Linked DNA regions of Xenopus tropicalis. The main gene of each other region encodes a partner of the protein of the gene in region 3 in a complex. Links are inferred from orthologs where the notes say so. Each region holds a gene or a part of one and is shown on either strand. Other genes may lie near its edges.

Evidence for each region.
Region 1: the proteins of arl1 (region 3) and golga4 are in contact, whole or in part, in a crystal structure (PDB 1UPT), measured with the Homo sapiens proteins. The link is inferred for Xenopus tropicalis from reciprocal best matches to the Homo sapiens genes ARL1 and GOLGA4. Residues at the interface, in NP_001168.1 of Homo sapiens: Ile49, Gly50, Phe51, Gln64, Trp66, Ser73, Ile74, Pro76, Tyr77, Cys80, Tyr81, Ser83, Glu115; in NP_002069.2 of Homo sapiens: Thr2173, Glu2174, Glu2176, Tyr2177, Lys2180, Val2181, Glu2184, Glu2190, Thr2193, Lys2196, Val2197, Thr2200, Val2201.
Region 2: the proteins of arl1 (region 3) and arfip2 are in contact, whole or in part, in a crystal structure (PDB 4DCN), measured with the Homo sapiens proteins. The link is inferred for Xenopus tropicalis from reciprocal best matches to the Homo sapiens genes ARL1 and ARFIP2. Residues at the interface, in NP_001168.1 of Homo sapiens: Glu17, Arg19, Gln38, Ile46, Ile49, Gly50, Phe51, Asn52, Val53, Glu54, Thr55, Gln64, Trp66, Ile74, Tyr77, Cys80, Tyr81; in NP_001363487.1 of Homo sapiens: Phe205, Thr212, Lys216, Thr217, Asp220, Asp278, Ile281, Lys282, Phe285, Leu286, Glu288, Asn289, Lys292.

Annotation. Positions count from the first base shown.
Region 1 is NC_030682.2:60,987,773-60,991,367, reverse strand, and holds part of golga4 (golgin subfamily A member 4), read right to left. Parts: intron 3,364-3,595; coding exon 1-3,363. UniProt on the Homo sapiens protein: Involved in vesicular trafficking at the Golgi apparatus level. May play a role in delivery of transport vesicles containing GPI-linked proteins from the trans-Golgi network through its interaction with MACF1. Involved in endosome-to-Golgi trafficking.
Region 2 is NC_030678.2:180,359,175-180,363,422, reverse strand, and holds the start of arfip2 (arfaptin-2), read left to right. Parts: upstream 1-1,398; 5' UTR 1,399-1,498; coding exon 1,499-1,500; intron 1,501-4,248. UniProt on the Homo sapiens protein: Plays a role in constitutive metalloproteinase (MMP) secretion from the trans Golgi network. May have important functions during vesicle biogenesis at certain cargo subdomains, which could be predominantly utilized by secreted MMPs, such as MMP7 and MMP2.
Region 3 is NC_030679.2:48,817,211-48,821,356, forward strand, and holds the start of arl1 (ADP-ribosylation factor-like protein 1), read right to left. Parts: upstream 2,809-4,146; 5' UTR 2,466-2,808; coding exon 2,462-2,465; intron 1-2,461. UniProt on the Homo sapiens protein: GTP-binding protein that recruits several effectors, such as golgins, arfaptins and Arf-GEFs to the trans-Golgi network, and modulates their functions at the Golgi complex.

The DNA.
Region 1 (3,595 bases), on a different chromosome or scaffold from region 3:
TGCATATTTTTTGTCTTGATTTTCAACTTTTTGTTGCAATCCTTCCTGCACTTCCTGGCTCTCTTTCTGCATATTATCTTTTAAGACATTTAGCTGGCTTTCCAGCGCTTTCCTGGACTGCTCCTTCTCATCTATCTGAGACATAAGTTGTTTCTTAAGAGAAGCGATTTTCTGTTCAGCTTTTTTCTTGAGCTCTGAAAGTTTATTTGTGCTTTCTGCAGTTAGTTTCTCTTCCAATATTTTTAATTCCTTATCTTTCAGCTGAAAGCACTCTGCTTTCTCCAGCTGCCATTTTGTTTGCTCTGCATCAAGTTTCTCCTTTAAAGCATCAATTTCTTTTTCAAGTGTTATAACTTTATTTTGCACTTCCTTGGAGTTATTGTCAGAAGCATACTGAATATGCTGGAGTTGCTCAACCAGTGCTTTCTTATCTTCACTCTGCTGAATAGTTTGAATTTCGATTTGATCCATCAAACTTTTCTTTTCAGACATCAGCTTCGAACACTGGTCCTCCAATTCCGAAATTTTAGATTTCTGGCCTTCCAACTGGGTAGTTAATTCAAATTCTTTGCTTTCACTCATGAGTTGTGTTTCTTGGATATTGCTACGATGACATTCAAATTCTTCTGTCACTGTCCTAAGTTTTTCATCTTTTTCAACAATTTGCTTATTGACTGATTCAACTTTCTCTTTTAGCTCTTTAATAGTGTTGTGGTTCTGCACAAATTTAAGTTCTGCCTTTTTCTTCCATTCATCCAACTTATTTTTAAGTTTAGCAGCCTCATCTATTTGTGCAGATTTTTCTTTATTCAGAACCTCAATCTTTGCCATTAGATCCTGAATTTGATTCTGTAGCTCTTGCTGACTCTGTTTCTGCTGTGCAGTGAGAAAAGCAATTGCATTTTCTTTTTCTGTTAAATCTACACAATTCTCATGTTTCAGTTTAAGTTCATTAATTAAGGCAGAAAGAGAAGATACCTCAGATTCTTTCTGTTTTACCACTTCTGTCAAGGAAGTCACAATATTTATATTCTCTGAAAGTTCTTTTTTCAGCTGAGTAATGCAAGATTCTTTCTCATCTGCAACCTGCTGTTGACTTCCTCCTTCTTTTTTTAACATCTCATTTTGAAAATTAAGAGCTTCAATCTCATTCTTTAGCGACAAAGTAGCAAATTCTTTCTCCTGAGTTGCTTGATTAAGAGATTGGTTTACTGAAAGAAGTTCGTTTGAAAACTGCTCAAGTTGTTTTTCTTGTTCATATATTCTACTACGCTGTTTTAAAGTGACCTCTTTTAGTTTATGCATGCAGCTTTCAAGATTTGCTATTTTAACAATCAATCCATTCAACTTATATTTGTGGTTTTCAGTGAGTCCATTTGCAAGTGTTTCAAATAAATCTTCAGCATTTTTGCAGCACAAGATCAACTGGTTTTCTTGTTTAACCAAAAGGTGTTTAAACTCATTTTCCTTTTCAACAAGTTTATCCTGCAGTTCCTTAGCAAAGTCTGCTCTCACTTTATTGTGCAGGGTCTCCAAGTCTTGATACTTTTCTTCAGCAAGTCTCACCTTGTTAACTATTTCATCATTCTTGCTTTTATCTTCCTCTGCTAATATTTTCAGTTCATCAAGCTGTTGTTGAAGAATTTGCTTCTCCGTTGTTAGCCGAGTACAATTTGTCTTGAATTCATTTTCACTCTGTGTCAAATGTAAAACTTGAGCTGCTGACTGACACAGCTGTTCTTGCAAATCATTAAACGTGGCATCCATTTGGGTCTTCAGTTCCCTGAGGTCTGATATCTCTTTGTCTGCATCTTCTTTTTCTTTATTCTTGATATTAAACTGTTTTCTTGATTCTGCTATGACCTGATCTTTCTCCTGAAGTTCTTCTTCGTGCTTCTCTCTAAGGTCTTCAGCAAGTTGGCTTAATTTCTTTTCACAAGCTTCTGTTGTTTCCTGTAATTCTCTCTGATGATTGTCTGTCATATTCTGAATCTGCTCTTTATGATTCAGTTCAAGCTGAGCCATTGCATGATTAATTCCAGTTGAACTTGCTTGGGCCATCTCATGTATTTTTTCATTAAACTCCCTTTCTTTGTTAATCAACTCGTTCTGCTTCTTCTCGATCTCTTTCTTAAGTTTGCTTTCCAACTCTGAATATTTCTTTTTAGATGATTCTTGCAGCTCTTTAAACTTCTGCTTTAATTTTTCCATTTTAGCATCCAGATTTTTGTGTTTTACTTTGTAATCTTCTTGCAAAGAAAGTATATTCTTCTCTTTTTCAGATATAGTATTGTTTAGGTCTAAAATAATTTGAATATGATCTTCTTTTACTTTTTTAAGTTCATGTTCACGCTCTGAAGCTATTCTGCTTATCTCTTCTATTTGTTCCTTCAACCCTTTTACCTGAGTTTCAGACTCTAGTACCAAAGTGTTAAGTTTATCTGCCATATTCATACTTTCCTCATGAATTTGCTTTGTAAGGCTTTGTACTTGGGCCTTGTTAGAATCCAGCTCGATCTGCATATTCTTTAACTGTGTTTCTGCTTTTTCTGTCACCTCTTTAAGATCGTTTCGCTCCTGCGTCATACCTTTTAGCATCTCCTGAAGCTCCTTCAATTTTAGCTCATAAGCCTGTTCTTTCTCATGTGTATTTATCTCATGAGAATGCCTGGCTGCTTCCAATAGAGCAAATGCTTCTTTATGGTCTGCTTCTGCCTTTTCAGCAGCTTCTTTTAGCTTTTGATTTTCCTTTCTGAATTCTTCCAACTCACATTCTTTACTATCTTGAAGTAGTTTTAGGTTGTTAATATTTTCCTTCAAGTCTTTCTCAACACCCTGAGTATGCATTTCCTTCTCTCTTTCAATGGAACCAATTTCTTCACTGTGTTTTTCTCTTTCTTCTTTTATCTGGGCTTCATACTCTAGTTTTATTTTGCTAATCTCATTTTCTGTGTCTGTAAGTTTCTGCTCAATCTCTTGCCGTGCCTTTATAGCCTCAGACAGTTCAGCTGAGAGGGTTTCCAATTCAGTTTGTTTTACATCTAGTTTTTCTAATGTTTTTTCATTCATATGCTCAATATGCTCCTGGAAATTATGCTCTTTCTCTTTCAAGTGAGAATCATAATCTCGCTGATACTTCTCTTTAAGTTCAATAATCTTAGTATGATTCTCTTTCTTAAGCAGCTCAAGCTTTTCTGACCATATCCTTTCTTGATCCTGTACAAGGACATCAAGATCTTGCTTATGCATTTCTTTGATGGTAGCTACTTCTGCATTGTGATTATTTCTCTCTGTTTCAATCAGGCTTACAAAATCTTGGGACTTACTTTCTTCAGCAACAGAACTCTCAAGGTCAAGAATCCTCTGTCAACAATGAAAACATCCAAATTAGTATCAAACGAAAACCATTTAAAACTTTGACAACAACTGCTGTTAGGAATGTAATAAATTGAAATTTTATTTATTAATTTAAAAAGACCACTTGGTTTTACATTTCCAAATGATCCAATAATCCACACTTCACACAGGGCTTAATATTGTGCTGAAGTGTTAAACTAAAGTGTCTGGAATCTAACCAATCAACCCTAGAGTGACA
Region 2 (4,248 bases), on a different chromosome or scaffold from region 3:
CCTACTGCCCTAACTCCCTGCTGCCCCCACCCACCCCCCACCCTACTGCCCTACTCCCTGCTGCCCCCACCCACCCACCCACCCACCCTACTGCCCTAACTCCCTGCTGCCCCACCCACCCACCCACCCACCCTACTGCCCTAACTCCCTGCTGCCCCCACCCACCCACCCACCCACCCTACTGCCCTAACTCCCTGCTGCCCCACCCACCCACCCACCCTACTGGCCCCCACCCACCCTACTGCCCCCACCCACCCACCCTACTGCCCTAACTCCCTGCTGCCCCCACCCACCCACCCACCCTACTGCCCCTAACTCCCTGCTGCCCCCACCCACCCACCCACCCTACTGCCCTAAACTCCCTGCTGCCCCCACCCGCCCGGTACCTGACACACACTCTCACACACACTCTCACACTCTCACACACTCACACTCTCACTCACACACACTCACACACACTCACACACACTCACACACACTCACACACACTCACACACACTCACACACACTCACACTCTCACTCACACACACTCACACACTCACTCACACACACTCACACACACACACTCACACTCACACACACTCTCACACACACACACTCACACACTCACACACACTCACACTCTCACACACACTCACACTCACACACTCACACTCACACTCACACACTCACACACTCACACACACTCACACACACTCACACACTCACACACACTCACACACACTCACACACACTCACACTCTCACTCACACACACTCACACACACTCACACACACTCACACACTCACACACACTCACACTCTCACTCACACACACTCACACACTCACTCACACACACTCACACACACACACTCACACTCACACACACACTCACACACACACACTCACACTCACACACACTCTCACACACACTCACACACTCACACACACTCACACTCTCACACACACTCACACTCACACACTCACACTCACACTCACACACTCACACACTCACACACTCACACACACACTCACACACACACACACACACTCACACACTCACACTCACACTCACACACTCACACACTCACACACTCACACACACACTCACACACTCACACACACACACACACACTCACACACACACACTCACACACACACACTCACACACACACTCACACTCACACACTCACACACACTCACACACACACTCACACTCACACACTCACACTCACACACTCACACACACACACATACTCACACTCACATACTCACACTCACACTCACACAGTACCCCGGTACCTGACACACAGACGCCGCTTCCGGTCACATGGGGGGAAGGTCACAGGGAGATAACGCGAGAGGAGGGGGAGTGGCTCAGGCGGATCATGTGACCTTGCTGGAATCACGTGACCGGGGCAGCTGAGAGAGAGAGAGAGAGGGAGGAGCCGCGGTACCGGGTAACACTGGGGGAACTGGAGGGCACCACGAACCGGAAATACCGGGACCCCGGAGACTATGTAAGGCCCAGGGTATCCCCTGTCCTACCCCCCTGTCCTACCCCCCTGTCCTACCCCCCTGTCCTACCCCCCTGTCCTACCCCCCTGTCCCACCCCCCTGGGGCAATCCCTGTCCTACCCCCCTGTCCTACCCCCCTGTCCTACCCCCCTGTCCTACCCCCCTGGGGCAATCCCTGTCCTACCCCCCTGTCCTACCCCCCTGTCCTACCCCCCTGGGGCAATCCCTGTCCTACCCCCCTGTCCTACCCCCCTGTCCTACCCCCCTGGGGCAATCCCTGTCCTACCCCCCTGTCCCACCCCCCTGTCCCACCCCGGAGACTATGTAAGGCCCAGTGTATCCCCTGTCCCACCCCCTCTGTCCCACCCCCTCTGTCCCACCCCCTCTGTCCCACCCCCTGTCCTACCCCCCTCTGTCCCACCCCCCTGTCCTACCCCTGTCCCACCCCCCCTGTCCTACCCCCCCGTCCCACCCCCCTGTCCTACCCCCCCTGTCCCACCCCCCCTGTCCCACCCCCCCCTGTCCTACCCCCCCCTGTCCTACCCCCCCCTGTTCCACCCCCCTGTCCCACCCCCCTGTCCTACCCCTGTCCCACCCCCCCTGTCCCACCCCCCCTGTCCCACCCCCCCTGTCCCACCCCGGAGACTATGTAAGGCCCAGTGTATCCCCTGTCCCACCCCCTCTGTCCCACCCCCTCTGTCCCACCCCCCTGTCCTACCCCTGTCCCACCCCCCCTGTCCTACCCCCCCGTCCCACCCCCCCTGTCCTACCCCCCCTGTCCTACCCCCCCCTGTTCCACCCCCCTGTCCCACCCCCCTGTCCTACCCCTGTCCCACCCCCCCTGTCCCACCCCCCCTGTCCCACCCCCCCTGTCCCACCCCGGAGACTATGTAAGGCCCAGTGTATCCCCTGTCCCACCCCTCTGTCCCACCCCCTCTGTCCCACCCCCCTGTCCTAACCCCTGTCCCACCCCCCCTGTCCTACCCCCCCCGTCCCACCCCCCCCTGTCCTACCCCCCCCTGTCCTACCCCCCCTGTCCCACCCCCCCTGTTCCACCCCCCTGTCCCACCCCCCTGTCCCACCCCCCTGTCCTACCCCCCCTGTCCTACCCCCCCTGTCCTACCCCCCCCTGTCCTACCCCCCGTCCTACCCCCCGTCCTACCCCCCCGTCCTACCCCCCTGTCCTACCCCCCTGTCCTACCCCCCCTGTCCTACCCCCCCTGTCCTACCCCCCCTGTCCCACCTCCTGTCCTACCCCCCTGTCCTACCCCCTGTCCTACCCCCTGTCCCACCTCCTGTCCTACCCCCTGTCCTACCCCCCCTGTCCTACCCCCCCTGTCCTACCCCCCTGTCCTACCCCCCTGTCCTACCCCCCTGTCCTACCCCCCCGTCCTACCCCCCCGTCCTACCCCCCCGTCCTACCCCCCCGTCCTACCCCCCCTGTCCTACCCCCCCTGTCCTACCCCCCCGTCCTACCCCCCCTGTCCTACCCCCCCTGTCCTACCCCCCTGTCCTACCCCCCTGTCCTACCCCCCCCTGTCCTACCCCCCCTGTCCTACCCCCCCCGTCCTACCCCCCCCCGTCCTACCCCCCCCTGTCCTACCCCCCCTGTCCTACCCCCCCCTGTCCTACCCCCCTGTCCTACCCCCCTGTCCTACCCCCCTGTCCTACCCCCCTTGGGCAATCCCTGTCTGTTACTGTCATTGGTACCTACCCCCACCCCGACAATATCTGCCCGGGGTACCTACCCCCCTAACTATAACTGCCCAGGGTATCTACCCCCCTAACTATAACTGCCCGGGGTACCTACCCCCTAACTATAACTGCCCGGGGTACCTACCCCCTAACTATAACTGCCCAGGGTACCTACCCCCCTAACTATAACTGCCCAGGGTACCCACCCCCCTAACTATAACTGCCCAGGGTACCTACCCCCCTAACTATAACTGCCCAGGGTACCTACCCCCCTAACTATAACTGCCCAGGGTACCTACCCCCCTGCGTGTAATCACTGCCAGTACTAATGAATGGTCTGTGTAATGGCCTGTTACTGTCATTGGTACCTACCCCCCCCCCCCCACCCAAAAAAAAATATCTACCCAGGGTACCTGGGACAGACACAGGGAAAGGGACAGACACAGTGACAGTTACACATAACTATAAACCCAGTGAGAATGAGGAATGAATGGATATTGGGGAGTTGTATCAGGAGTCAGAACCAGCAGTGCAGGGAAGGGAAAGGGACAGACACAGTGACAGTTACACATAACTATAAACCCAGTGAGAATGAGGAATGAATGGATATTGGGGAGTTGTATCAGGAGTCAGAACCAGCAGTGCAGGGAAGGGAAAGGGACAGACACAGTGACAGTTACACATAACTATAAACCCAGTGAGAATGAGGGATGAATGGGTATTGGGGAGTTGTATCAGGAGTCAGAACCAGCAGTGCAGGGAAGGGAAAGGGACAGTGACAGTTACACATAACTATAAACCCAGTGAGAATGAGGGATGAATGGATATTGGGGAGTTGTATCAGGAGTCAGAACCAGCAGTGCAGGGAAGGGAAGGGACAGACACAGTGACAGTTACACATAACTATAAACCCAGTGAGAATGAGGAATGAATGGGTATTGGGGAGTTGTATCAGGAGTCAGAACCAGCAGTGCAGGGAAGGGAAAGGGACAGACACAGTGACAGTTACACATAACTATAAACCCAGTGAGAATGAGGGATGAATGGGTATTGGG
Region 3 (4,146 bases):
TATTAGTGATAATGAATATAATCATAATGCTATTTTTAATATTAAATGCTTTGCCCTGCAATTACTCTGTGTATACTTTTGACTCATATAGCCAGATGCCAACGCTTTAGGAAAAAATGCCCCTTTGGTCATTTACAATGAGTTCTACGGGACCAATTTAATCCTGAAGAGCAACAGTTACCAGAACCTCGGACAGAGTTAAAGATATAATGACACCAGAAATGAAAACTTTTTTACATCTATCATAACATTGTCTTTGCATGAGCTTTATAATTTTGCCAAAAAAGTATTTCCTGATGCTTTTCCATTCCTTATCTGATCCCCCATGTTCTTCTATGAGGGGGCTGCCATATTTGTGCAGCAGTAGGCCGTTAGCACTAGAAGCTATAACTGACAGGCTGAGAAGGGACAGTCAGGCTGGCAAAACAGTCAGGTTTAGGAACTTCAAGCAACAATTACATACAAAACCAACCCTAACAGTGAAAAAAGATCAACATGACCTATAGGTAACTTTTTATGTAGATTCATAAATTGAAAAGTCATTTTTTCATGTCAGTATCACTTTAAAGGACAGTGAAAAGCTCATTCACTGGTTAGGCACCCATAATGAATTAAATTGCTAAGGTCCCATTTTCCCAGGCATCACTTTTTGTTTTCATGATCATTCTGCTTTGAGTTCTTACACTTGGGCTTTTCTTCCTGCATTCCCCTGGGTGGATCTTTCATAGGTTCCTCAGGGGGACTGCTGAAAAAACACAGCCCCTTCTTTTAAATGACTTTGTATTCAGGTGCCTCAGTGAGAACAAAGTCATTTGAAAGAAGGAGCTGACTTTTTTCCAGCAGTCCCCTGAGGAACCCATGAAAGATCCACACAGGGGAACACAGGGAGAAGAGCCCTAAGAAAGTCAGAAACTTTCATGAAATTGTATCACATATAAATGATATCCAGCCTGTGACCCCCCCCCAGCTGTTGCTAAAAGGCTGTAGGGGTAGATACCTGTATACAATAAGCTGCAGGTTTACCAATAATAGTTATGTGAGAAAAGGCTATAACACACAATACTGCTTTGATACTGATTATTTATTCTGTATATCTTTACTTGCTGGCAGTACCAAGCATCTGGTGAGTACCACTGCAGGGGTGAAATCTGGCAGCACTGCTAGAAAGATGGCTATGGGAGTTTTAAATTATATGTATTTTTAGTATGTTATAAGGAAACCAAATCTGAATAATGTTTAAATTTGTCTTTATTACTTTTTGTGTATGCTTTCTTATTTATAAGCCTGCCTATTCCCATCATACAACTAAAAATATACTCTGGGTGCCAGAGTGACTGATGCCCAGCAACCACAAACACATACTGTTAGGTTAAGGCCCCATGCGCATGTAAGCACAGACTGATAATCTGCCCATTTGCTTGAAAAATCTTCCAATTGTGCCTGCACCCAGAAGCACTGAATCCACCGGGTGCAGGCACACACAGCCGATATCCACCAAGGGTTGCAAAGTCGCACGTTAGTTGGTGAATATCGCCTGTGTGTGCCTGTACCCGGGTGGATTCAGTGCTTCTAGGTGCTGGCATAAGTAGAAGATTTTTCAAGTGTGCAGGTGGATTGCTGCCTGTGTTTATATGTAGGCTGATCCGCCTCAGGTTCCATTTCCATTCGGTTTACATTCCTATTGCTTATCTTAATTTTCAGTCTCAATCCTATTGATCTTCCCATTATGGCATCCAAATGGCTGCCTGGTTACTAGGGTAACTAAACCTGAAAAAATGGGCAGCTGTTAAAAAAAATAAGATCAGATACAAACTTTCTCAGAACACTGCTGTCTACAACATAATAAAAGTTAATTTTAAGAGGACCTATCCCTGTAATGATGGCACGAGACTTACAGAAAGCGTTGGACACAATTTCTGGTGGGTGCCAAGCCCGGCCTTGGAATGTATGGATTGAGACAAATGCCAGAGGGGCTGCTGTGAGATACTGTAGACAGTCGCTACTTATTGGGCTGGTTACTGGCTTCATTATCTGGCATTCAACAACATGGTGGAAGGCTGTTTGGGCCTTTGTGTAGTTGAAATTCTATTCCAGGCCTGAGTACAACACATTTACATACATGTTTGCATGGGAAAGTGCCATAAGGAAACCTCTGCATAAATGTTCAACTACACAAGACCCAGGGCCCAGACCGGCAATCTGTGGATTGTGGCAAATGCCAGAGGGGCTGCTGTAAGATGCCATAGACACTCACTATTTATTGGGCTGGTGGGGGCTTTGTGTACTCTCCAGCTGTCGCCAAACGACTCCTATGACCATTAGTGCGTTATGGGCATACATGGATACAAACATTAACTATAAACATATCATATACAACCCATTTACAGTGCGAGCAACGTCCCTACCCTTAACTTGTAAGAACCCCCTCCCGCAGGCCGTACAGCCCCAGGCCCAGGCTTACCCATCTTAAGCGGTAGAGTGGCCGACGCAGGAGCTGCTGCTGATCCTGCTGCTTTAGTCTCACACCCGGAAGCGCTGCCAGAAGCTCCACGTCACTCTGTCAGCCAGTCACAGAGCTACAGCACTTATGATTCGGAACGCAAGATTCGACATAAGAAAAAGTAAAATAAAATACACAGTTCTGCTAGGCTTACGGAGTAAAATTAGTAGTCTGAAAATATTTTCTTAGTATATTTGCAAACTGAGAAATGTAGAAATGCCAGGCAGCTCTTTGTTTGTGGTTTGATGAATCTGTTGTCCGTGCGCGTTTGAGCAGTAATTATGGTGCAATCAGAGCTGGTTGTTGAGGCGGTCAGTTACTTGCTGGACTGGTATATCCTGTTGCTAACCCACGATCCAATACTTGTCTATAAAGCAACAAAGGGAATGCAGATTTCCCTGGCTATCGTGGCAGCATTCACTTATGGGTGATCCCTTGGTTTTCCTTTACGGTAGCAGTGGGATGTCCAATTAGAGATATACCGGTATATGACCCGAGTTAAGACATGTAATGGAGAGTTTAGAGTAATGTCAGCATATTGTAAATATCATAAATTGTTTGAATTGATGCAAAAGGAGTATACAGAAATAGGACTAGGGGACTAGGACAAAGTGTTGGAAGAGTAGTGATGAGTGAATCTGCCCTGTTTTGCTTTGCAGAAAAATTTGCGCCTTTCTTGGTGCAAGCACGCCTTTTTGACAAGGCTGCAGAAATGCGGAATTTTGCTGGGAATCCATGCCTGGTGAGAAAATTTGCTCATCATTATTGAAGAGCCAGACAGAAAGATGATCGTCCATTGTTAGGGAACACTGAAAGAGTGATTTGAAAGATATGAGGAAAACCTTGAGAGGGCAGATACGCAAAGACCCAGATAATGGGGGGCCTGAAGGAGAAGGGGTAATCAACAATGTCAAAAGCATATGGGAGATCTAGTGGTATTGAGAAGTGATGAGCTGGTTGTGGTTTCTGATAAAGTTGAATTAAGAACACTGAACACTACTGCTTTTGTGACACAAACAGTATTCTACCCAATTTTCAGGTCCAGTCCACCAAGGTTATTAGGTGACTGATCCTTAGAGGACACAGACTGCTCACAGACAGGATAATCACAGTTAAAGTTCACTTTATTAACTTTTGGTGTGTTATAGATTGACATATTCTAATGGCTCTTTAGTTGGTCTTCATTATTTTGTGAGTTTTTTTCAGTTATCAATCCACCTATTTGCAGCATACAGTAGAAATAGGTGTCTTCTCAACTAAAAAAATATAGTTTTAATTTTGCTTTCCTTTGGGTAATTACAGGAGAAGGAAAGGTGAAAACTAATTAAGCTTTATCAGAAAAGTCTATGTAAATACACAGAGTCCTTTATGAAAAGAAACACAGGATTTCTTCTAGGGCTCTTTACTCAGATATGATAAAGCTTTCTGCAGAATAAATATAGTGTTCTAGGTGGCACTAATGTGGTGAATAAATTGGCAGTAAAATGCCAAAATGACTTTCCTTCTTTAAGCCCTAGCAACGTCTTATATTAACTTTAACCTTGTTAAAGCTAAGGGGACACTGAGCAAATATTAGATCTCAAAAGTGGGCTTAAAGGAACAGTAACACTAAAAAATAAAAATGTTTTAAAATAATTAAAATATAA